Saccharomyces cerevisiae S288C: one gene and its partner. The protein of the gene in region 1 binds, or shares a complex with, the protein of each later gene. Each region holds a gene or a part of one and is shown in the gene's direction. Other genes may lie near its edges. The genes, in order: BNI5 and GIN4.

Region 1 (15,785 bases):
TGGGTCAAAGAACTGTTGGTGATTGGTACTTGACCACCTGTTACAATGATTTGTAATTGACTGCTTTCGGCAGTAGTAGTATTGGTAGTACTGTTTGTTCCATTAGCGTAGGTAACATTGCTAGAGTTAGACCCATTCCAGGCCGGCAAAGTGGAGTTGATATTCTTACTGTGAGATGCCTTAACAGCCCTGTATTTGAATAGGTTTTCGATTGGGCTTGCGACGACGGCAGATGAACATGCCAAAAGGGCAGATAAAACAACTTGGAACTTCATTTTCTATTACTGTATTACTTAACTGACGATTAATCCTGTAGATGTTTTTTGAGCTGATTTTTTACAAGCAAGAAAGAAATAGAAGGGATATTCAATAAGAGCAATAACCCAAGAGAACACAGCAGAAGTTCTAGCAAATGTCACCCTCTATCAAGCTTTTTATATTTCAGAGATGATGGTTTTTTTAGTGAGGTACTTTTTTCTCCCTTTTTCCTAATTATTACTAATAGGGTAAAAGAGATATAATAGGCGCTTTCTTTCTTCAAAGTATCGATGTTGAACTGTAGCATCGAGAAGCCGGCTTCACTCCCTACTGAGATTCTTCGGAGTTTGAAGATGCAATAGAGTACGAATATATCCCTTTTCAGCTCCTGAGCCTCTCCATTAGGAAAAGTATAAACTTTCGTCAACTTCTGCGCTAATTTTCGGCCCCTTCTTCGAGAAGTTTCGATTCGTAAAGGGTAAACTATTTAGACAGTGTACCCTTTTTGGGCTCATGTGTCTCTTGGACACATAACATGTCCACATAACATGCCCCGATTGGGTAAAAGTGAGAGACTTTTTCGCCCGCCGGATCTTCCGCGGATGACGAGAAAACTTCGCAAAAAAAAAAGTCACAAAAAAGTCACATAATAAACCAACGAATGGCCGATGTTTTACGGGTAAGCAAAAGTTTCGACGGTGAGAAAAAAACTCATGTGTCTTCAATCCCACATCAAGGCCCCTTCCTCTGGAAAGAGATCCCAATTAGGGATACCCGATCCGAGAATTTGAACATTGTGAGAACATTGAATCAATGATACCGAATGTTTAGCCCTCGCCGCCACATTACCCAATAGGGAATTGAAATGGAAATCGACTACTGAATTTTCCTATTGCTCATTTTTCTCTTTCCTTCAAACCATCGTCGGTAAAAGAAGGGAGTGAAGGGAAAAGCCAAAGATGATTAGGGATTCCGTCAGACATTCCTAAATTTGCCCTTTTTAAAAAATAGCACGCTTTAAGATATGCGTGTGGAACTAGTTCATCATGGTTTGACCTATCCCGAACGCTTTTGTTTCTAGCAATATTTGGTTATGACGATCTTTCAAGCGACGATTAATGAACTTGAAAGTGTAGGTTTTACAGTGATCGGTTGTCGAACCTCCGCTATCGTCTTCCCTGAGTTTCATTCAGTATTGTAAGACTGGATCATCTTATAATTTATAGTTCGAAAGGCCGAGAGGAAGCGCGTGATGAAAGCACGATCTTTTCTCTTTTACGACGTGTTAATAACAAAAATTATATATTCTTACACGTGTGTATGTTATTTCATATTTTTTTCAATATGGTCGATATATATAGATACTTCCTCTACAAAATCGTCCCCTGATCTGCCATCTCTTTTACCTTTTTCAACTACATCAGCCATTTTTCTTGTTTTTCAAGGTAAAAAAACCAGCCATCACCGAGATTGTGCTATTGTGCGTGGATGTATGGATTAAGGGCAGCCTGTAGGTTACTAGGTACATTGTCTTCGGAAAGGTGGTCGTTCAAATACTTCAAGGAGACATATGATAAAGCTGATGTCTATTTTGGTAATTTTTTTCCCGAAAAAAGTGCAGTTATTTATTCATAATGTGCGTTCTACATCCATAGATAAATACTTGAATAAAGAGGAATGTCCTTAACGCGTCCCTACAACGCATTTTTTCTTGTCAAATAGTCAAATCTGGAGTAAGTGTAGCCAATAAAAGGTAAATCTTCCTTGACTGGCGCACTTCCACCTTGCTTTGTCATCTGTTCCCTTTGTTTGGCAGCTTGTGCCATAGCTGGGGAATCTGGAACATTCTCCAACTCATCGGTTGGGAAGAACCTAGTATCGGTGATGGAGCTCAACTTTGGTATATACGGTGCTTCTACTTGTCTGATTGTATTCCAATCAACACCGCGAAAAAATGGATGACTTTTTATTTCATCTGCACCACCATGTCTACCAAGTCTTTGGTCTGCATGAGTTAATAGTCGACGGATTAGATCTTCGGCTTCATAAGAGATATGAATATCATCAGGAAATTGTAGAGTTTGCTCAAAATTCATGATTTTTCTGTACGTTTCCTGTGGAGTTTCGGAACAGAATGGAGGCCAACCAATCAGACACTCGTACATAATTGCTCCAAGTGACCACCAATCACACTCTTGCCCATAACCTTGGTATAAAAATATCTCAGGAGCAATATAATCTGGTGTACCTACGGTAGAATATGCCATTAAACGACGTGATTTTCTCCATGTCTGAATTTGTTGCCTGTTTGACATTGTTAGACTAATAGAATCCACAACCATTGTTTGCCTTTTATTTGCAGTATCGGTTGTATTTGCATTGTAAGTACCTGGCTTGGAAATACCATTAGTTGCCTCATCTTGTTGCAAAAGCTTTTTATAGTAGTTTGAGTCGTGAGTTTTATGGAACCCCGTAGACAACCCGAAATCAGATAATTTTATATGACCTCTAATATCGATCAAAATATTATCTGGTTTAATATCTCTGTGAATGAATCCTAATTTATGAATGGTTTCGATGGCCAAAATACACTCAGCCATGTAAAATCTAGTAACATCCTCTGTAAATAGTTGCCACCTGATTAGCATGGTCATCAAATCACCACCGGGCAAAAATTCCATGATTAAATATAAGTATTGAGCATCTTGGAATGAGTAATATAGCGAAACCACCCATGGAGAATCACTTCCAGCCAGAACATCCCTTTCAGCCTTGACGTGTGCTAATTGGTCCTTTTTGTACATTTCGGATTTTAATAAAGTTTTCATTGCATATATTTTTCCGGTGTCTTTCTTCTGAACCAGTCTGACTTCACCAAATGCCCCTTTTCCAATGACTTTCACAGTGTGGAAATCTTCTAACGATAATCTCGTTCTACGCAGCCTTAAAAATTGTGACTCTTTTTTACCCAAAGAACTCAATTGCCTAGATTTCCTTTCTTCTGACCAATTATGAGAAGTTAGTTCTGTTTCTAACTCCACTCTTCTTTCATTTCTTTCAATGGCGTATTTAACAGAGGATTGGTAAAAGTTCTCAATCTTCAACTTTACAGCTGCTGCTTTATCTTGCGTTCCTTTAGTCAACAAATCTGGTCGTCTTTCAAAGTACATATAGTTTGATATGGTACCATTATTAAAGCCGCTCTGAACGGGAGATTGTGATTGCTGCTGCTGTTGTTGCTGCTGTTGTTGTTGTTGTATTTGCATATGTTGCTGTTGTTGTTGTTGTTGTTGCTGCTGCTGGTATTGAAGTTGTTGCTGTTGTTGCCGGGAATTTTGTTGCTGTGCTTGGGAAAGTTGTTGCTGAACTTGGACATTTTCCTGTTCTTGTTGTAACCTCTGGAAGCTTTTCACACTCCTTAACCCGCTTGAATATGACCCATTGCTCCGTAGCGTTTGCGGTTGGTGGAACGGACTACTAGAAGAACTGCCATTTAAATTTTGATTGTACTCTGACTCTATAGAATATTGGCCCGGTGATAATTGGGGTAATTGTGCATTCCCACTCCCATTACCGTTCTGAACCATGCTCTGGGAATTATTATTATGTCTATAAAGACCACCCATCGACGGCGGTGGGGTATTGATCATCTGATTTGAAGCTGCGTAATTATTATGTGGTGGTGGTGTGGCTGGATAATTCAGGGCTGGAACGTCTGTAAAACCGCTGCCAAGGTTACCTGTCTCACGTTGTAAATGCTCTTGTAACGATTGATGAGAGCCTTGCTCTTTCATGTAGTTGCTACTAAATCCTGCAGCAGGCGGTCTAGGAATTTGCTGATACGGATTCATTTCGTTGGCGTATTGTTGTTGTTGTTGATGCTGTTGGTCTTGTTGTTGGGACATATAATAGCCATGTCCTGAAGTAGGTGCACCCTCATGATGATTGGTGCTGCTATTATACATTGCGAAAACTGCAGAGGATTACAGAAGGATCAGCGCAGACGTGTACCTATACTGAAATTTACGCTTACGTTTCAAAAAAAGAGCGATATCTATGTGGTAATATCAGTGTTCGCCGATAATAAAGCAATATCTGAACCCTTATTCGTGTGATATAGAAATTTATATGACCTTGCTCAACTATTCAAACGAAAAATGATCTTTGAATGTTAAAAATAGTCGCTGGACTGCAGATCAAACTGGAGTGCAACTGCTTCTCTGGAAACTAATCATTTTCGTCGAATAAGAATGATGGTTACCCGACCGACACGCGTCCTAGAGCGCCCGAACCGTACTAACGCATCATTAGTTGCAGGAATTATCGTAAAGTTTTATATTGTAATAATATGTAATTATATCAGATTTTAAAGCAAAGAAAATACAAAAGCGAAACCCATAAAGAGATTCAGAATTGCAAAGCTTGACCCTTTTGCTTCTTTTCACCACCCAATTCGAAGTGCTTGCATCTCTTCAAGGTCAATTGGGCTCTGGTCTTACATTTGACACATTCCAATCTCAAAACAACCTTCTTGGTAGTCTTAGCTTTCTTGTGGAAAACAGGCTTGGTTTGACCACCGAAACCAGATTGTTTACGGTCATAACGTCTCTTACCTTGGGCAAACAAGGAAGCCTTACCAGCTTTGTATTGAGTAACCTTGTGTTGAGTGTGCTTACGACAGGTCTTACCCTTACAGTAGGTCTTTCTGGTCTTTGGAACGTTAACTAAATAGAAGAAATAGATGAGACATCGTACTAATGTTAGTAAAAAAGTTTATTATTAGAAAAAATCAGTAAGGTGGTAAGCAAAATCTAGCATATTGAAAAGAAATAACAGTTATCCAACTTATCCCCTCTACGTTTCCTTCCTCAAAGAATATCACTGCACAATCTGAAGATAGCGAGGGAAATAGAAGCCTTTTTTGAGCTTCACAAATAGGCTACTGTGCTGTTTGGAGCTTTTTCAGAGCATATTATCAGAAAAACAGAAAGGATCCTCCATGCATATGATACTCTGTTGCTGCATATCTCGGTTTCATTGCTGACTGCTGAACTTTTATTGCGCATCGTTTAGTTTTGTGTATACGCCCTTTTTAGGCGCAGATTATACAGTTGCTAGGTGTGTCTGTTTATGCATTCATGACGATTATGAAATTTCATTGACAATAAAAATCAAATTAGCTTTTCTTTATTGGTCCTGATTTTATTCACCATTAGGAATTATGGTTATAACATACCCATTTTTACTGATAATTGTTGTTTTCCTCTATTAAGGATTAGATTTCAAGATGCATTTGGACCACTTAATGGTGCTATTATCTGCCTCCTTCGCGCTCATGTACTAGCCCTTCGAAGGTAGATTGAACCGCCTTTCCCGGGCAAAAGAGAAGGTTGCGCTATTTCCTGTGACCCAATCACTCTGCGGGCCAGCTGCTGTAACCTTCCTACTGGTCCGGCCTATTGGCACTAGACAAAGCTCCCTTCCCTGGCAGGATCAGTCCTGGCGTTAGGCGGAATTCAGGTGTTAAATGTCCGCAAGAGAAAAAATAGATAAATAAAAAAAAAGTATAACTCGAAGTAAATGTCTAGGTTTTACTTTAGATGTAAGGATGTAAGATCTCTGAATGTAGGACAGCATTTGGTAGAAAACTGTTATTATATGCCGATATGACAGCTACATATTTGCTATTTGTCACTGCGGTTTGGCGTTCCAAAACGCATTAGTCTATATTGGTGATGAATAATTGACAAGTTTTAATGCCAAAGCTAGACAAGTTATTACACACTTTTTAGTTTTCCTTGTACGAACTTTTTTGGGTTTCACATAGAAAGTAGATTATTCGTAAAAACCGGATACTTGATCTTCACTCTTTGAGACCTTTAATTATGTCGCTTCTTTTATGTTAATTTCAACTATCATGTTATTGCTCTTTATATTGTTATCGCTCATATTTGACTCTGCAATGGCGTTACTAGGGATAATGAAAGATAATGAACAGCAATAGTGCAACTATTTTATGGTTTGCTTCGTGAAGATAATCTTTTTTTTGCAACTTTTAAGACGTCATTATCGTCTACATACGTTAGATTTTCGAGTACTTCTCTTTGATTGAATGGGTAGCCGCAGACTAAGCTGGGACATATTATAATGGCATAATTTTGCTGTACTAAACACTTTTGAAGTCTTTCATTGCAATTTGGACAAAATACTTGGGAGTCGGGCTTATCAGACATCTTTTAATGACGTGTTCGTTTGTATGTAGTTTTGGTATACTGGATATTCGATATATTGTAAAGTGGAATTTTCAGCTCATCGCTTCCTTTTTCTTTTTCCTACGAGAAAAGAAATTTTGAAAAATGGGAACTTAAGAGCCAAGAATATTGATAGATAGGTGCACCCGAAATACAATCTTTGTACATCATCAAGATTATCAAAATAGTTTATAAAATAACCAAACTCAGTTATTTTTCTAAGCACGATAAGCAAATATGCCTAGAGTGGAATCGGAGACTTACAAACGTCTGCAAAATGACCCTTCCTGTATAAGAAATATATGTATTGTTGCTCATGTTGATCACGGTAAAACTTCACTTTCAGATTCTCTTTTGGCTTCGAATGGTATTATATCACAAAGGCTTGCCGGCAAAATTCGATTCTTAGATGCCAGGCCTGACGAACAACTACGTGGTATCACAATGGAATCATCGGCTATCTCTTTATATTTTAGGGTATTGCGTAAACAAGAAGGTTCCGATGAGCCTCTTGTAAGCGAGCATCTAGTAAACTTAATTGATTCCCCAGGTCACATTGATTTTTCAAGTGAGGTCAGTGCAGCTTCAAGACTATGTGATGGTGCTGTCGTACTGGTTGATGTCGTAGAGGGGGTATGCTCGCAAACCGTCACAGTGTTGAGACAATGTTGGACGGAGAAGCTGAAGCCCATTTTAGTATTGAATAAGATTGATAGATTGATCACAGAACTACAACTAACTCCCCAAGAAGCTTATATTCACTTGTCCAAAGTCATTGAACAAGTCAACTCAGTTATCGGGTCCTTTTTCGCAAACGAGAGACAATTGGATGATTTATTTTGGAGGGAGCAATTAGAAAAGAACGAAAACGCGGAATATATTGAAAAGGATGATTCGGGTATTTACTTTAACCCTACTGATAACAACGTTATTTTTGCTTCCGCAATTGATGGTTGGGGTTTCAACATCGGTCAATTGGCCAAATTTTACGAACAAAAATTAGGCGCTAAAAGGGAAAACCTACAGAAAGTTTTATGGGGTGATTTCTATATGGATCCCAAGACAAAAAAAATTATTAACAATAAAGGCCTTAAGGGAAGATCCCTGAAACCCCTTTTCACATCGCTAATCCTCGAAAATATATGGAAAATTTATCAAAACATAATCACATCGAGAGATTCTGAAATGGTCGAAAAAATAGCAAAAACTTTAAATATTAAGCTACTTGCACGTGATCTAAGGTCGAAGGACGATAAACAATTGTTAAGAACTATCATGGGTCAATGGCTACCCGTCAGCACAGCAGTATTGTTAACAGTTATTGAAAAATTACCTTCACCTTTGGAATCACAAACCGATCGTTTGAACACTATTTTGGTCTCCGAATCCGACACAGCAGCCATGGATCCAAGACTTCTGAAAGCCATGAAGACATGTGATAAAGAAGGACCAGTTAGTGCATACGTATCTAAGATGCTTTCAATTCCTAGAGAAGAATTACCTGTTGAATCTAAGAGGATAGCATCTTCGGATGAGCTGATGGAGAGAAGTAGAAAGGCACGTGAGGAAGCACTTAATGCTGCAAAACATGCTGGTATGGTAGAAAATATGGCAATGATGGATTTGAATGACAATTCTAAAAATACATCAGATTTATATAAAAGAGCAAAAGATACCGTTATGACCCCCGAAGTAGGAGAACAGACAAAGCCAAAACCTTCAAGAAATAATGATGTTTTCTGTGTTGTTTCAGAGCCTTCTTCCGCCTTGGATTTAGAATTTGAATATGAGGGGGAGGATGATTCAGATAGTCAAGATAACTTCGGCCTAGATTTTGTACCAACTGACATAGATCCAAATGACCCTCTAAGTTCAATGTTTGAATATGAGGAAGAAGATCCACTTTTGGAGAGTATTAAGCAAATTTCAGAGGATGTGAACGATGAAGTAGATGATATTTTTGACGAAAAGGAAGAATGCTTGGTAGCATTTGCAAGAATATACAGTGGCACACTAAGAGTTGGTCAGGAGATTTCGGTATTGGGTCCAAAATATGATCCAAAATGTCCAGAGGAGCATATTGAAACTGCGATTATTACGCATTTATATTTGTTTATGGGTAAGGAATTGGTTCCTTTGGACGTTTGTCCATCAGGAAATATAGTCGGTATTCGTGGTCTGGCCGGTAAAGTTTTAAAGAGTGGTACGTTGATAGAGAAGGGCGTACAAGGCGTCAATCTAGCGGGCGTCAATTTCCATTTTACGCCAATCGTTCGTGTTGCTGTGGAGCCAGCCAATCCTGTGGAAATGAGCAAGTTGGTACGAGGATTAAAGTTGTTGGATCAAGCAGATCCTTGCGTGCACACATACGTTGAAAATACTGGTGAACACATTCTGTGTACGGCCGGTGAATTACATTTAGAAAGATGCCTAAAAGATTTAACAGAGAGATTTGCAGGAATAGAAATTACACATTCTGAACCGGCTATTCCATATAGGGAAACATTTTTATCAGCCTCAGATATGAATCCACCGCAGAATTCACAGCTGGGAAGGGGTGTTCATGAACTACTATTGAGCCAGTACAAGATTACATTCAGAACGTTCCCATTAAGCGGTAAAGTTACAGACTTTTTATCTCAACATCAAAATAGCATTAAAAACATTTTGAAGACGTCCACTTCAAGCATGGATCCCGTCATAGAATCAACTGGAAGTTCTTTTCTAGACAAAAAGTCTTTACTCGTTGCTTTTGAAGAGGTCATAAATCAGGAGGAGAAGAGCAGAGAACTATTAAGTGGGTTTAAAGTAAAGTTAGCAGGTTTTGGGCCAAGTAGAGTTGGGTGCAACATTTTGCTGTCGCAGGATAATCTTCTTGGAAGCCTATTTGAAGGTACTCCAGCAGCCTTTGAGTATTCAGATTCCATCAAAAATGGCTTCCAACTGGCTGTTAGCGAAGGACCTCTGGCAAATGAGCCCGTACAGGGAATGTGTGTTCTTGTTGAAAGCGTACATAAGATGTCACAAGACGAAATTGAATCTATTGAAGATCCGCGCTACCAACAACATATTGTGGACTTATCAGGGAGGTTGATAACTTCTACAAGGGACGCTATACATGAGGCCTTTTTAGACTGGTCCCCAAGAATTATGTGGGCAATTTACTCATGTGATATTCAAACCTCTGTCGATGTACTTGGAAAAGTGTATGCCGTTATTCTACAGAGGCATGGTAAAATCATTTCTGAAGAAATGAAAGAAGGTACACCGTTTTTTCAAATTGAGGCACATGTGCCCGTTGTGGAAGCATTCGGTTTAAGTGAAGATATTCGTAAACGAACATCTGGTGCAGCACAACCTCAATTGGTATTTTCCGGATTCGAGTGTATCGATTTAGATCCATTTTGGGTCCCAACCACAGAAGAAGAATTGGAGGAACTAGGTGATACAGCAGATAGAGAGAATATTGCCCGTAAGCATATGAATGCCATCAGAAGAAGGAAAGGTCTATTCATTGAAGAAAAAGTTGTCGAAAATGCCGAAAAACAACGTACTTTGAAAAAGAATTAAGGTTTTTTAGGGTTTATATGAATCATAGACTAATATAGATAGTTTTCACTAGTTGAAAATATATATAAATATATGTATGTATGTATGTATATTCACTTGAATATGAGATGAAATAGCACAGTTTTCAAGCATTTCCAGTCTTACGTATTCTATGATATACTACATACTCTCGCGCGAGTGAATGTTTTAGCGATGGGACAAGAAAGTTGAGATGATCTGGACGATGAGAATGGCAAAATAAGCGAGAGCTACAGCAAGAACTACAGATTGCACTTTTTGCATATACCCTGAATAGGAATTTCTTTGCTAAATATTTGGTAATTTGTTATCCATATTTACTGATATCGTGCTTCTTACGACGAATTTATAGCTTTAATCATATTCTCTTCTCTTCTATTTTCATGCCATATCATCAAGAAAATGACACCTACAAACCAATCTAGTGGAACGACTAATGCATCTGTGGAGGTACTTTCAGAGGATGGACCTATGCCAATAAACGTTATGATGCAAGAAGGTGTGAAAGCGCTGACTAAAATTCTTTCCAATCAGCTTCAAGACAGACAAGCTTTTCAAAACGCTCCTCATGCAATGCAATTCGTTATAAGAAATGGAGGAAAAGCTTTATCAAATGCACGGTTAGAAGAGCTCAAAGATGCTCTTCCTAAGATGGACTCGTTGAGTTTGGAAGATGAACTTGCGAAAATAGATGGCCAAAGTGCATACCACATTGATTCCGCAGAGGAAAAGGAAACCTTTGAAAGTAAAATAGGCCAAATAGCTTCTAGAAATAGTGCAGACTTCATAATAGAGGAGGACTTGCAAAATATTTTAGATGATGATCTTAAAGACTCAGAACTTAACTTGGATGGCGAAGAAGCCGAAATAATTTTCGATTATGAGAGCCAAGAACTGGATACACCGGATGGTATAGGGGAAAAGATTTCTCAAATGATAGAATCGGTGTTACCGGGAGGGTTTGGAAGTGAAGAACAGGGGGGGTTGCGAACTGTAACAAATGTAGAGGATTTAGATGTTGCAGAAGAAGTCACAGATATCGATCATGATACCGTTGACGCAGCTCGTTTGCATGGAGACGGTCAACATTCCATATCTTCTAGAAAGCACAGCAGGTCAAAGAACTCGAAAAAGAATGGGCATGTAAGGCGACATGACTTTTATGACGAATCTAGAGACCATAAAAGTTGTTGCCCGCATCATCATTATGAAAACTTATCCAAACTACGAAACTACTATTATCATGATTTTGAATATATTTCCAGAACGGAAAACCGTGTTCCAGATTTCTCTGTCCTAGTTAACGAATCAAGTCCCATGTGTTTATTTTGCGAGTACTACATGGTGTTTGGTGAACCACCACGTAACATGATAAAGTGGTATAATCGTACGTTTGGTTACAATCGTATGCCGAATCCACCAAGAGATGAACAAGATAGTAGGAAAAGGAATAGATAGTCAACATTATTACTGTAGGAATAAAGTAGTATAGGGAACATTACATAATAGAGGAAAACTTGTGAGGAAAACTTGTGACATTCTAAACGTATTTAAGAGTTATTGAAAAATTAATGGTGTACGACAATATTTCTCTTTGAATATTTATATGCTTCTTAGCGGTATTATGACTAAATAGTAACAGGAAAAAACACAAGTAAATGCAAATGGGTTTACATCAGTAATCCTGCCGGTCCATTTAGCATATATGTGGTCGAGCTGCCCCATGCGGTGTGGCGTTTCTCCTTTCTTGATTCATATTCATGTAATAGCATGCACATGCAAGTAAGTATCTGACTATCCCACGGCACATTTTCAATGATATTAGAGCCCATTTCAGTATAATTGGTAGATGTTAAACTAGAGCCATCATCAAACGAATCAGTTTCTTGTAAGTACAAGGTAGCTACTCTCAAAGTTCTTTTTTTCGGTATGACACTAACTTTATCATCTGTGTATCTGGCCCATACTGGGAGATAACCCAGCGGTCTTGTGGGACGGGAACGGCTGTAAGAATCAAACTCTTCAATAGTTTGTTGGTTCATGTAGGATGCCATCGTATCATCGAGTACAAGTAGGTTGATGCTATTTGAGCCAAAAGGTGAAGCTAAACTAGTTGTCCCGTACCAACGAAGATTTAATCCATGAATTGCCGTATCCGCATTTTTCCTTTGATTGTAATTAATCATGGGGATATGAACATCAGGTTCATCTTTTCTATGAAATATAAAATCGTGCTCTACCCTGCTCGAAAAATTATGGCTTTCCATTTTTTTTAGAATAGTGCAGAATTCATATTTATATATGGAGACATTTTCGTTTATTCGAGAGACCACTTCTGAGTTTAATGGAGGTTTATCGCATTGGGAGTCTATCATAACGTATTTATATATCCTCATTACCGGTGTATTTTGATCACTGAAAAGCGACTTGACCAGGTTTAAAGAAATGGCGTGAAATAGGGGAAGTCCTAGACCCCTCTTTGGATCAATGTTATCGAGCTTCCTCTTGTTGTGTAAAAATAGCTGGAGAGATTCTTCACTGGGGAATGCAAAAAACCCTCGTTGTAGTAGCACCGAAACGAATGGCATGGCTCTTTCTGACGTGAATCTTGGGGCTCTGTTAACATAACCCTGTCTTTGTAGGTCTCCAATTGTTGAGCCTTCTGATACCGCTGTATTCAAAGTAGCTGCATCCGCACTATCATCGCCCTCGTTGGCAGAGGTTTCCAGAGATTCATTTTCTCGTGCAAATATTGTAGATTGGTCGTCTCCATAACCATTAGCTCCCAAGAGATTGACGGTGGATGGAGACCCACTGTGAGGATACGGAGGATGTTGGCGATTATGTCGGCGTCCCCGGCGATTTCCAATCAAAGAGCGTACTCTATCCATGCGGATCTTTGGCAAATGTATGTAGCACTTCTCCTATCGTTCAATTTGATGCTCTTTCTTTTCCAAAAGCCTTACTTGTTCTTCTTCTTCACTAGTAGTGAAGGGCTTTAGAGATGCCCAGAACCCAGACCATTTTAGACGCGTTATGAAATAAATATTGCGCTGAAAATTCAAACTTCATAATAAACAAAAATCATTAATAGTTTTGTAATTTGATTTACTGTTATGGTGATGCTATGTTAGTGTGAAATAGAACAACAGAAACGATGGGCTTGGACCAGGACAAGATAAAGAAGAGGCTTTCTCAAATAGAGATAGATATCAACCAGATGAACCAGATGATTGACGAAAATTTACAATTAGTTGAACCTGCGGAGGACGAAGCTGTCGAAGATAATGTCAAGGATACGGGTGTGGTCGACGCTGTAAAGGTGGCAGAAACGGCTCTTTTTAGTGGCAATGATGGAGCGGATAGTAACCCAGGAGATTCAGCTCAGGTTGAAGAGCACAAAACCGCACAGGTCCATATTCCCACTGAGAATGAAGCGAATAAGAGTACGGATGACCCATCCCAGCTATCGGTTACTCAACCTTTTATAGCGAAAGAGCAGATAACTCACACCGCCATTGCTATTGGTGACTCCTATAATTCATTTGTCGCAAATTCCGCTGGAAATGAAAAGGCAAAGGACTCCTGCACTGAGAACAAAGAAGATGGTACAGTCAATATAGATCAAAACAGGGGTGAAGCTGATGTTGAAATTATCGAAAATAATGATGATGAATGGGAGGATGAAAAATCGGATGTTGAAGAGGGGCGAGTAGATAAGGGAACAGAGGAAAACAGTGAGATTGAATCTTTCAAATCACCCATGCCCCAGAATAACACCTTGGGCGGTGAGAACAAGTTAGACGCTGAACTTGTATTAGACAAATTTTCTTCCGCTAATAAGGATCTAGATATACAACCGCAAACCATAGTTGTAGGAGGTGACAATGAATACAACCATGAGAGCAGCCGTTTAGCTGATCAAACACCCCATGACGATAATTCAGAGAATTGTCCCAATCGCTCTGGAGGAAGCACTCCCTTAGATTCTCAAACTAAAATTTTTATCCCTAAAAAGAATTCTAAAGAAGATGGTACCAATATAAATCACTTTAATTCAGATGGTGATGGACAGAAAAAAATGGCGAATTTCGAGACACGACGCCCTACAAATCCGTTCAGAGTTATCTCGGTGAGCAGCAATTCCAATTCAAGAAACGGAAGTCGTAAATCTTCACTAAATAAGTATGATTCGCCAGTCTCCTCTCCTATCACATCAGCGTCTGAGCTGGGCAGTATTGCCAAGCTGGAAAAAAGACATGATTATTTATCCATGAAATGCATTAAGTTACAAAAGGAAATTGACTATCTAAACAAGATGAATGCACAGGGTTCTTTATCTATGGAAGACGGAAAGAGACTACATAGAGCCGTAGTGAAGCTTCAAGAATATCTTGACAAGAAAACGAAGGAGAAATATGAGGTCGGAGTGTTATTAAGTAGACATCTGAGAAAGCAAATTGATCGTGGCGAAAATGGCCAATTTTGGATTGGAACTAAATGATTACATTACGCCAAGGGTTGTTATAAATATTTATAAATTAAGACAGATATATAAAGTTAAAATAAATACCAAAAGAACATAGACAATCGTAAGAGAATAAGAATCCTTTATCCTAGAGCCATCCATCTGTTATTTTTGATGTTGCTGACTTTTTTTCTGATAAATTCTATTATTTTAATAGTAAAGAGGTGAGTATTTCGCCTAAACGTAAACAAAACGATAATAAAAAAAAAAAAAAATGAAGACAAAATGTTCAGATAGTCAATTATATTGTAATAACATGAAACGGAACAATAACAGTACCCAGAATTCAATTTCAATGGCGTTGTGTCTTCTTTTCTCTAAGAACTTTCATAAACCAAGTCGTACTTAACCGCGCTAGCGATAACCCTGCTAACTTTGTCGCAGAGGGAAAAAAGTAGAATCGAAGGGAAAAATCACGAAAATTAACTGGGCTGAATAGAATGAATTCAGTCATACGGTGATGGTTTTCGAAACAAACTGCACATTTTTCCAGTTAAAAGGACCAAGTTTGGTTACTGATACGTGAGACTAATTTGTTCTCCAGAAACACAATAATTTGGTGCTACATTGCCAACGCTCAGGAGTGGTTTTAAGCTCAGAAAAGTTACTACCAAAGGGGTTCAACGTAAAAGTGAATTGTGTTTTCTTATCGAGAAAAACTCTTTTATTATTCAAGTGAGTTTTCCACTTATTAGATTCCTATCTTTTTACCGATCTCTATTATTTGATAAGTTCCTTAATCAATTCGTGGATTTTTATTTTTATTTCATTCTTTTCATTTCAATTTCTGCATTCCAAATACACCTGCCCAGTCTCTAGACCCTGCTTAATCATTATGTCAAGCGAGGAACGCTCGAGACAACCAAGTACTGTTTCAACTTTCGATTTAGAACCCAATCCTTTTGAACAAAGCTTCGCCTCTTCCAAGAAGGCTTTGTCACTTCCAGGCACGATCTCCCATCCGTCTCTACCAAAAGAGCTTTCACGAAACAATTCTACCTCAACGATAACACAACATTCCCAACGTTCCACTCATAGTTTGAACAGTATTCCAGAAGAAAATGGGAATTCAACCGTTACAGATAATAGTAATCATAATGACGTAAAAAAAGACTCACCTAGTTTTTTACCAGGCCAACAAAGACCTACTATAATATCTC
Region 2 (10,371 bases), on another chromosome or scaffold:
CAAATATTGGCGTGATCCCGGAGCCTTCCGTGGTGATACACCCATCCAGAGGTTCAAAGGTGTCGTTGCCACATTTGTCACAGCAGCGTTCGCCTTTGGTATGAGTGAACAGCTGGCTATGACTGCCAGTGAACAATCCAATCCAAGAAAGGCTATTCCATCGGCGGCAAAGAAAATGATTTATAGAATTCTGTTTGTGTTCTTGGCGTCTTTAACGTTAGTTGGTTTCCTTGTACCTTACACCTCAGATCAATTGCTAGGGGCCGCAGGTTCAGCCACTAAAGCGTCGCCCTACGTCATCGCTGTCTCCTCTCATGGTGTTCGTGTGGTTCCTCATTTCATAAACGCTGTCATCCTGTTGTCTGTTCTTTCCGTTGCTAACGGTGCCTTCTATACCAGTTCTCGTATTTTGATGTCGTTGGCCAAACAAGGTAATGCACCCAAATGTTTCGATTACATCGATAGGGAAGGTAGACCTGCTGCTGCTATGCTTGTCAGTGCATTATTTGGTGTCATTGCATTCTGTGCCTCATCTAAAAAGGAAGAGGACGTTTTCACCTGGTTGTTAGCAATCTCCGGTTTGTCTCAATTATTCACGTGGATTACCATTTGTTTGTCTCACATTAGGTTTAGAAGAGCTATGAAAGTGCAAGGAAGGTCCTTAGGAGAGGTTGGTTATAAATCTCAAGTCGGTGTCTGGGGGTCGGCTTACGCTGTCCTTATGATGGTGTTAGCTTTAATCGCCCAATTTTGGGTTGCCATTGCCCCAATTGGTGGAGGAGGTAAGTTAAGTGCCCAATCATTTTTTGAGAATTATTTGGCTATGCCAATCTGGATTGCTTTATACATCTTTTACAAAGTTTGGAAAAAAGATTGGAGTTTATTCATTCCCGCTGATAAAGTAGACTTAGTTTCTCATAGAAACATCTTTGATGAAGAATTATTAAAACAAGAAGATGAAGAATATAAAGAGAGATTAAGAAACGGACCATACTGGAAAAGAGTTCTTGATTTCTGGTGTTAAAGCAGAAATCACGATTCAAAAAAAAAAAAAAAAACTTGAAGAAACAATTCAATTAGCATATTATTTCAAATCCCAGCCTTCCTACACGCTCTTCCTGTTTTATCTCTTTCCTTTCATTCTCCCGTCCCCCTCATTCATGTATTTCTTATTTCATTATACTATTTAACTCTTTAAATATTCTATGTACTTTGTGCAAACATCATTGTCATCACATAAATGCATTCCTACTATTACTAACTTGAACTTCACTTCACTGGAAGAACTGGGTTATTCAAGGTAAAGAAATCATTTGTTTTGCGCCAAGTTTCGTCTGACAAGAATTTTTTATTATTATTTCCCACTTTTCATCGAAGGAAACGCGTCAAATCCATTCGTTACTACGCGCAATCTGCGTTATTTCCTTTTTCGGCATACCATCGCGAAATATCAACGGCCACACCATAGATTCCTTTTGATGTTAAATTAAAAGCGACTGAATGAAGTGCACACATTTTTTATTTCTTCTTGATTTTCTTTTCTATTTTGTTTTGCTTTCTCTTCTGTCGACAACGTCTCAACTGTACTCACCATTAGTATTCTCGAAGGCTTTAGCAGACTTGTGAATAATTAATTGCCCACTTTGATCAAGAAAGATATTCGCAGCACAATACAATAATAACATTCAAAATGGCAATCAATGGTAACAGTATTCCTGCCATAAAGGATAATACCATCGGTCCATGGAAACTAGGTGAAACTCTCGGTCTAGGGAGCACTGGTAAAGTCCAGCTTGCTCGTAATGGATCCACAGGACAAGAGGCGGCAGTTAAGGTAATATCAAAAGCAGTATTCAATACCGGTAATGTCAGCGGTACTTCGATTGTTGGCTCCACCACCCCAGATGCTCTACCATATGGTATAGAACGCGAAATAATCATTATGAAGTTGTTAAACCACCCAAATGTGTTACGTTTATATGATGTCTGGGAAACAAATACAGATTTATACCTTGTTTTAGAATACGCGGAGAAAGGTGAGTTGTTCAACTTATTGGTTGAGAGAGGTCCTCTGCCAGAGCATGAAGCTATCAGGTTTTTTAGACAAATTATTATTGGTGTGTCGTACTGTCATGCGTTGGGTATTGTCCATCGTGATCTAAAACCGGAAAATCTATTATTAGATCATAAATATAACATCAAGATTGCAGATTTTGGTATGGCTGCTTTGGAAACTGAAGGAAAGCTACTGGAGACGTCGTGCGGATCACCACATTATGCTGCACCAGAAATTGTATCTGGTATACCGTATCAAGGTTTCGCAAGTGATGTGTGGTCATGCGGTGTGATCCTATTCGCCCTTCTTACTGGTCGGTTACCCTTTGACGAGGAAGATGGAAATATAAGAACACTATTACTTAAAGTTCAAAAAGGTGAGTTCGAAATGCCTTCTGATGATGAAATTTCGCGTGAAGCTCAGGATTTGATTAGAAAAATCTTAACCGTTGATCCTGAAAGAAGAATCAAGACCAGAGATATACTCAAACATCCGCTATTACAAAAATATCCAAGTATAAGAGATTCTAAAAGTATTAGAGGCTTACCAAGAGAAGACACATATCTCACGCCATTATCAGAAAGTAATTCTTCTATTGACGCTACGATTTTGCAAAATTTAGTAATATTATGGCATGGAAGAGATCCTGAAGGAATTAAGGAAAAACTAAGAGAACCTGGCGCTAATGCAGAAAAGACATTATATGCACTACTGTATAGATTTAAGTGTGACACTCAAAAAGAGCTTATTAAGCAACAGCAAGTTAAGAAGAGGCAGTCAATTAGTAGCGTTTCTGTTTCCCCATCTAAAAAAGTATCGACAACTCCACAACGCAGAAGAAATAGAGAATCTTTAATTAGTGTAACATCTTCTCGTAAAAAGCCAATATCCTTCAACAAATTCACTGCCTCCAGTGCCTCCTCCAGCAATCTAACTACACCCGGTTCTTCAAAACGCCTTTCAAAAAACTTCTCTTCAAAGAAGAAATTATCTACAATCGTTAACCAATCTTCTCCAACACCAGCATCACGTAATAAAAGAGCTTCGGTTATAAATGTGGAAAAGAATCAAAAAAGAGCCTCTATCTTTTCTACTACCAAGAAGAACAAAAGATCTTCTAGATCTATCAAGAGAATGTCATTGATACCAAGCATGAAACGTGAATCGGTGACAACAAAATTAATGTCAACATATGCGAAATTGGCAGAGGATGACGATTGGGAATACATTGAGAAGGAAACAAAGAGAACGAGCTCAAATTTTGCAACTTTGATAGATGAAATTTTTGAGTACGAAAAGTACGAACAAATAAGGAAAGAGAAGGAAGAGCTAGAACGTAAAGTGAGAGAAGCAAAAGCACGTGAAGAGCTGGAACGTAGAAGACGTAAACAAGAAGAAAAAGAACGTGCAAGAAAATTACTAGAAAAGGAAGATCTGAAAAGAAAACAGGAGGAACTCAAGAAGCAAATTGAAATTGATATAAGTGATCTAGAGCAAGAGCTGTCCAAACACAAAGAGGAAAAACTGGATGGTAATATTAGATCTATCTCTGCTCCTATGGAAAATGAAGAGAAAAATATCAATCATTTGGAGGTTGATATTGACAATATTCTCCGTCGCCGCAACTTTTCTTTACAAACTAGACCTGTGTCAAGGCTTGATCCGGGTATAATGTTCTCCAGTCCAACTGAGGAAGTAAGTCCAGTGGAACCAAAGAGAACAGAAAATGAAAGACTTACAACAGAAAAGAAAATTTTAGAAACTATCAGAAGATCAAAATTCTTGGGTTCATCATTTAATATCGATAAAGAGTTGAAATTGTCTAAAATGGAATATCCAAGTATAATTGCACCACAAAGATTGTCAGAGGAGCGAGTGGTGTCAGATTCTAATGATGGATATGAATCTTTGATCCTCCCGAAGGATGGGAATGGCGTATCTCAATTAAAGGATAGTACCGCAACAACTGCTCCCGTCTCTGATGGTAGGTTGAGGAAGATCTCTGAAATTAGAGTACCACAATTTACTAGAAAATCAAGGCATTTTAGTGAGTCCAATAAAAGGCTATCTGTCCTGTCGATGTACTCTACCAAGGAGTCGTTTACCAACTTGGTTGATATTTTGAAAAACGGTAACCTTGATGTCAATAACCAACAAAGCCAAAGAATTCCAACACCAAGAAGTGCGGATGATTCAGAATTTCTTTTTGAAACTGTCAACGAAGAAGCTGAATATACAGGAAATAGTTCGAACGATGAGAGATTGTACGATGTCGGTGATTCCACTATCAAAGACAAATCCGCGTTAAAGCTGAACTTTGCAGATCGTTTTAATGGATCGAACGAAGCGAAACAAACTGATAACTTACATCTTCCGATCCTTCCTCCGCTTAATGGTGACAATGAATTGCGTAAACAGAATAGCCAAGAGGGTGACCAGGCACATCCAAAGATTAAATCGATGATACCAGAATCAGGCTCTTCTTCACATACTGAAAAGGAAGAAGAAAATGAGGAAAAGGAAGAGAAAAAGCCAGAACAACACAAACAAGAAGAGGATCAAGAAAAAAGAGAGAAAGTAGTAGATGATATGGAGCCACCATTGAACAAATCTGTGCAAAAAATTAGGGAAAAAAATGCTGGCTCGCAGGCAAAGGATCATTCAAAAGATCACTTAAAAGAGCATAAGCAGGATAAAAATACAGCAATTGGAAATGGTTCCTTCTTTAGAAAATTCTCAAAATCTTCGGACAAAACAATGGAATTGTATGCCAAGATTTCTGCAAAACAATTGTTTAATGGTTTAGAGAAGCTGTTGCGTGGTTGGACTCAGTATGGTTTAAAAAATATAAAATCGCACCCCAACAATCTGACCTTAACGGGTAAACTATCGAGTGATAATATATTCTCACTACGTTCAACACTCTTTGAGGTTAATATTTATCCGAGAGGTAAGATGAGCGTTGTGCAGTTCAAGAAAGTTTCTGGTTCATTCAAAGCTGTCAAAAAGTTGGTCAATGAAGTTGAGAACGTCCTGAATAAGGAAGGCGTTCTACAAAAATAGTGCTAATGTAATGCAATCATGTTTTGTCTCCTTCGTTTTGTTCTGCCATAATATTTCGCTCATATTATTTTTGCTTATTTTTTCCCCTCCGTATTAATACTTTAAATAACAATCTAATGGAGGTACTGGACTCTATGTACTATTATATTTACCCTTAAAATATCGTGTTGATTACTATTTGTATAACCGTTTGTTTTTCTAACTATATATGAAAGAAAAGTAGTTATAGTTATAGTAGTTGAAGATTTAAAAGCTATTTGCCCTCTTTGGGATTAAAGTAAGAGCTAAACATAAATTATGTAACAGTTTAATTTTCCGAACATTAATTGTTGTTAAAGGCTTTAATATCAAGTATACTGAATATGCTAGAAGTTCCACTCAAGCATATAAGAATATCTGCCTAAATTATTATTTATCACTACAACTTGGCTACAAATTATGAACAATGAGGCCGACAAGAAGTTACTCTCTTAAAAAATGGGATATGATATATACAAACATATGATACAAAAATTTCAACAAATAAGTGGTTGTTTGGCCGAGCGGTCTAAGGCGCCTGATTCAAGAAAAAATCTTGACCGCAGTGAACTGTGGGAATACTCAGGTATCGTAAGATGCAAGAGTTCGAATCTCTTAGCAACCAATATTTTTTAGTTTACATTTTTTTCGGGGATAGTCATAGAGGATCCACCTTCATCTCAGCTGTCCACATTAAGGCCAAAGCTAATAAAGTGGCACATACTGGGCGGTTAAACAAAGTTATTAAGTAATTATTGCAAAACTCCGTGGACAACTTGTTTAGAATGAAGGTCATTCTCCTTAAGCCGGTTCAGTTGCCAATGCTACTCTTAATACTATTAAAATTTATTATGGCCGCTAAGGAAGGCAAAATACATGTCTTAGAATTCAATGCGAGCAGTGAATACACGCTTGATAAGAGAAGAGTTATCTCCATAAATGGCTACAGCGCTACATTTGGCCCAGAAATTCGAGTTAAATCCGGTGACACTCTTAACTTGAAATTGACTAACTGGATATGTTCAGAAGAAGAAGCTAGTAAAGACAGTGATGTTTGGAAGGATTACTGTTCAACAGCTTTACATTTTCATGGGGTGGTACCTTTAGCAAATGAATTTGATGGAATTCCAGGTTTAACACAGCCCACTATTGGATATGGAGAAAGTTATTGGTATAATTTTACCATTGATCAATCAACCTGTGGTACTTTTTGGTACCATTCGCATTCATCAGTACAATACGGTGACGGTATGAGAGGTGTTCTGATAGTTGAATGCGATGATTATGATAATCATGTGGCAAATACTATTAATTCTGTGAGAGACATAGAGACACTAGATGACGGTGTTGTTACAATGAAAAAAGATAAACACACGAAGGAATTGACGGATTATGAAGTTCAAGAAAGGATTATCACTTTGAGTGATTGGTATACCAATTGGAATTTGGACATTTTAAACGACAAGGTTTTGTCATCTACCGGGGGTACAGATCCCAAATTTGATGGATCATTAATAAATGGAAAATCATCTGACGGTGAAACTATCAAAATAGGATTTAACACCGAGTATCTTCTTTTGAGAATCGTAAACTCAGGAATGTCTGGTACTCAAGTCTTTCACCTTGATGGATTCCAATTAATTGTTCTAGAAGCCGACGGGATTATGATTAAACCGTTCATTGTACAAACGATAAATTTAGCGGTCGGACAAAGATATACAATTTTGGTCAAACTAAAGTCTGACACTAGTTTTATTCGTATGATTAATGGCTGTAACAAAATGATGGGTTATATAACAAAACAGTGGTGGTTTTACAAAGAAGGCGCTCATTTGGACCTACCAAAGAACCCCAATGACGTTTCCATCGAACACTTGCCTGGTTTCACTAAGGCCGAGCTTTATCGCGACATAGAACCAACGCAAGAAGAGAATAAAAAGTTACGCACAAAGGCTGATCCTGTTGCAGTTTTCGAATTCGATTATGCTTATTACAAAGATGAAAGCACGAAACAAAAGTATGGGACTGGGATGTATAAGGTGAACGAACGGACATTCAGCGAGTACGTAAAAGACCCGGTAAGGTTCGGATTCAACGAAACATATGATATTGTAATCAACTCACTGGACCACATGAGACACCCATGGCATATGCATGGCCATCACTTCCAGATAATATCTCTTGGCAATAAAGGTGATGGCCCATTTCACAAAGACGTACAAGAGGGCAAGGCATGGAGCCGCTATCAGAACGATTTACGTCACCTGGCCCGAACCGGAAAGGCACCGATGGTAAGGGATAGCATTAACATTGCAGGAAATTCTTACGCGGTTTTGAGAATTAACACCGAGATGCCCGGAAAATGGCTTTTACATTGTCATGTGGAGTGGCACATGATGAAGGGGCTTGGCATTGTCTTTGAGGTTCCGACAACAACCGAGGACAGTACCAAACAAGCAACTACAGCTGTATTATCGTACCCTACCAAGGAACCTGACCCTAACACTGTTGTCCATACAGCCGCACTTGAACAAAATAAGTCCAAGGTAATAGCCGTCTACATCCTAATCATGTGTGCGGTTGATGCTATCTTCTACTGGTTGCTCATGTAATCACATCCATTTCTCCCAACTCATTGCTTTTTTTCGCTTTTCCCACAGCCGTTTACAAGGCCGCAAAAAAGAAAACCCGCAAAGCTGACGGAAAAAGTATCGGCTAGCTTTCCATTGGCGACAATCGCCTCCGAGTGCGAAAACCTGTATTTCTCTGACTGCCGTAGGTCATATAGGATTGGGTCATAACGGTTTTTTGGAGACGAATCCTTCCCCTAATCGTGTTGGATAACATTACGGATCCGTGTTTTAGCTAAAGGAACAAAACAAAAATAAATAAAGGATAAGAAGAAGGATTCACTGATAATTAAGAGCTGTATTTTTCATTGGTTCGGCAGTTAGAAACAGAGATAGCATCAGTTCGAGTGTTCTTTGATATAGTAAACAGCGTATATAGAAAAGAATAAAGTGTATTGAAAGGCTCAAGAGAATTATAGAGAAAAAAACGAAGGATAAATCAAAAAAAGCGGTGTCTGATACAGTGCTCAATAGAAATACAGTTGCAAAATGGACCTCCCAACTGTTAATAGCACAACAAGCATTTCCGACAATGTGGATTTAAAGAACTACTATGAGGACTTGCTTTTCAAGAATAACAGCGGAAAATCGCTATCCGATTTACCCCGTAAACTGAATGATAACTCCAATAATTCAGGAAGTGATACGGTTGATCCGCTTGCTGGCCTGAATAATTTGAGAAACTCAATAAAAAGTGCGGGAAATGGTATGGAAAACAGGAGGACTTTTGACGATATTGATTTTATGGGTAGGTTTCCGTATTTGCCACCAGTGCCAAATCAACAACAGCAACCGTTTTCTCACCAGAACGGGTTCATTCAAGAACACCCTTCCAGTAATTTGACCTCTTTTCAAATGTCTTCGTCTAATTCAGAGCCGATGTCCGCACCGCCCATTTCATCCAATAACAATAATTTAAACTCTACTCAAATGGGTAATTATCAAGCTCAACAACGGTCGTTCCCGCAATTTAATGGAAATTCATTTCATTCAAATGGAAACGACCTAATGGGGAATCGGATGGATTCAGACTACATGCGTTTAATGAATAAAACAAACATAGGTTTTACTTCCAATAGCGGCAGCAATTTTGCTGCCCCATCACACAGTGCTGGCAACCCATCTAGTATGAACAACCAACAAGTACCATCATTTAATTGGCAACAGCCATCTCATCCAGAGTCTACCATTAGGAGATCCTCCTACATATCAGATACTCTAATCAACCATCAAATGCCTGACGCTCGGCAAAAGCAAACATCCCAAGTGCAGCAGCAACACGCTCAAGGTTTCAATCTTTTCAATAGCAGATTCAACTATGACAACTTGAACTCAACCCATTTGACCGCCAAAGGTGTGCCCGAGTTTGGAAATGGTGTACAACCTCCGTATCCTTATGATAACGAGCCTAATAATGCCAGTATCAGCAATAGTAATAACAACAACAACAGTCACAATATGGTTCCAATGCAACAGTTTCGCCGGAATACACAACCGGTAGCGAGCTTCAATCCATCCCTTCCTACTTTTCAACAACAACAGCAACAACCACAACAACCACAACAACCAAGAAACGTTAATGTACCTACTTCTTTCAATGGCGAACGTGTTGATGATGTTCAGCTTGTTCAACTTCAAAGAAGCAGTTCTGTCCCTTCTTCTACAAACTCACATAACCTTCAGAACGAGAACAGCAATGAAGGAAATGTATCTTTGGACAATGGTTTAGTTTTAATTCAGGGTAAACACTTGACTTCGTCCAAAACCTTACACGATTTATACAGCGACTGTGGCAGCGGCTATTTTGCTAGCTCTGCAGTTTTTGAATTCACAGATAATATTAAGAAAATGCTGAAGTTGCACGATTCTAATGAAAGTTACGACGCGAAGAACATGGGCTTAATCGATGAAGAAGGTAATACATACCAATCTTTATTAAATTTCTTGGACATTTTAAGAAGTTGCAACATGAATTACGTTAATGATCCAGAGTCGAATAATGGAATTGTTTCCAATAATGGAGGCAATAAAAATAGGAGGAAGGGCTCTTTCACAACAGAACTATCATGCAGGAATGCTAATAACTCCTTTTTACCTTATACACCATTGGTACTGGTTGCTTTGAAAAATGGGAAACTTGAACTACTATCTACTCCACAAGCTACCAATTTGTTGTTAAAGAGAGGTGACTTGGTTATTATTGATGGTGACCGTGGAAGGGATTTAGTATTGGTTGTTGAGCCCTCTGTCGATTTGAATTTAGCATTATTTATAAATTTTCTGAAAAAGAAAATTCACTTTGACTCTTTAATTACAAGTGAGTCACAGCACTATCGCAATGATGAGTTTATTCAAATGTTGATTGACTCAAAAAATGGGCAAAAGAAAAAATTAAATCCCAAATTGTATGATGTTGTTGAATTAACTGAGTTAATCATACCATCTAAACAAGTCTTACGTTTTGCCACCCCGTGGGAGGTAACAACGAATTTGCACAATAAATTTGAAGATGAATTAAAAGCCTTGCATATTGCTCAGAGTAAATTACAAGCGTTAAATGATAATTCAAAATCTCAAAATACAAATGACAGTTCTTCCAATAAT

The links.
Region 2: BNI5 (region 1) and GIN4 share a complex: the UniProt entries of both Saccharomyces cerevisiae proteins name them as parts of the GIN4 complex.

The regions. Positions count from the first base shown.
Region 1 is NC_001146.8:321,035-336,819, reverse strand, and holds BNI5 (Bni5p), read left to right. Parts: upstream 1-13,254; coding exon 13,255-14,601; downstream 14,602-15,785. Other genes in the region: YGP1 (Ygp1p), read right to left, coding at 1-275; serine/threonine protein kinase CBK1, read right to left, coding at 1,953-4,223; 60S ribosomal protein eL42 RPL42A, read right to left, coding at 4,666-4,982, 5,495-5,498; YNL162W-A (uncharacterized protein), read right to left, coding at 6,273-6,491; GTPase RIA1, read left to right, coding at 6,747-10,079; IBD2 (Ibd2p), read left to right, coding at 10,500-11,555; YNL165W (uncharacterized protein), read right to left, coding at 11,768-12,988; SKO1 (Sko1p), read left to right, coding at 15,461-15,785. UniProt on the Saccharomyces cerevisiae protein: Required for normal septin function and cytokinesis. Its recruitment to the bud neck by CDCd11 and SHS1 ensures efficient localization at the bud neck of MYO1, the type II myosin of the actomyosin contractile ring.
Region 2 is NC_001136.10:1,457,106-1,467,476, reverse strand, and holds GIN4 (protein kinase GIN4), read left to right. Parts: upstream 1-1,690; coding exon 1,691-5,119; downstream 5,120-10,371. Other genes in the region: glutamine permease GNP1, read left to right, coding at 1-1,024; GMC1 (putative oxidoreductase), read left to right, coding at 5,923-7,749; PSP1 (Psp1p), read left to right, coding at 8,257-10,371. UniProt on the Saccharomyces cerevisiae protein: Serine/threonine-protein kinase which regulates the localization and the function of the septins during mitosis. Phosphorylates SHS1.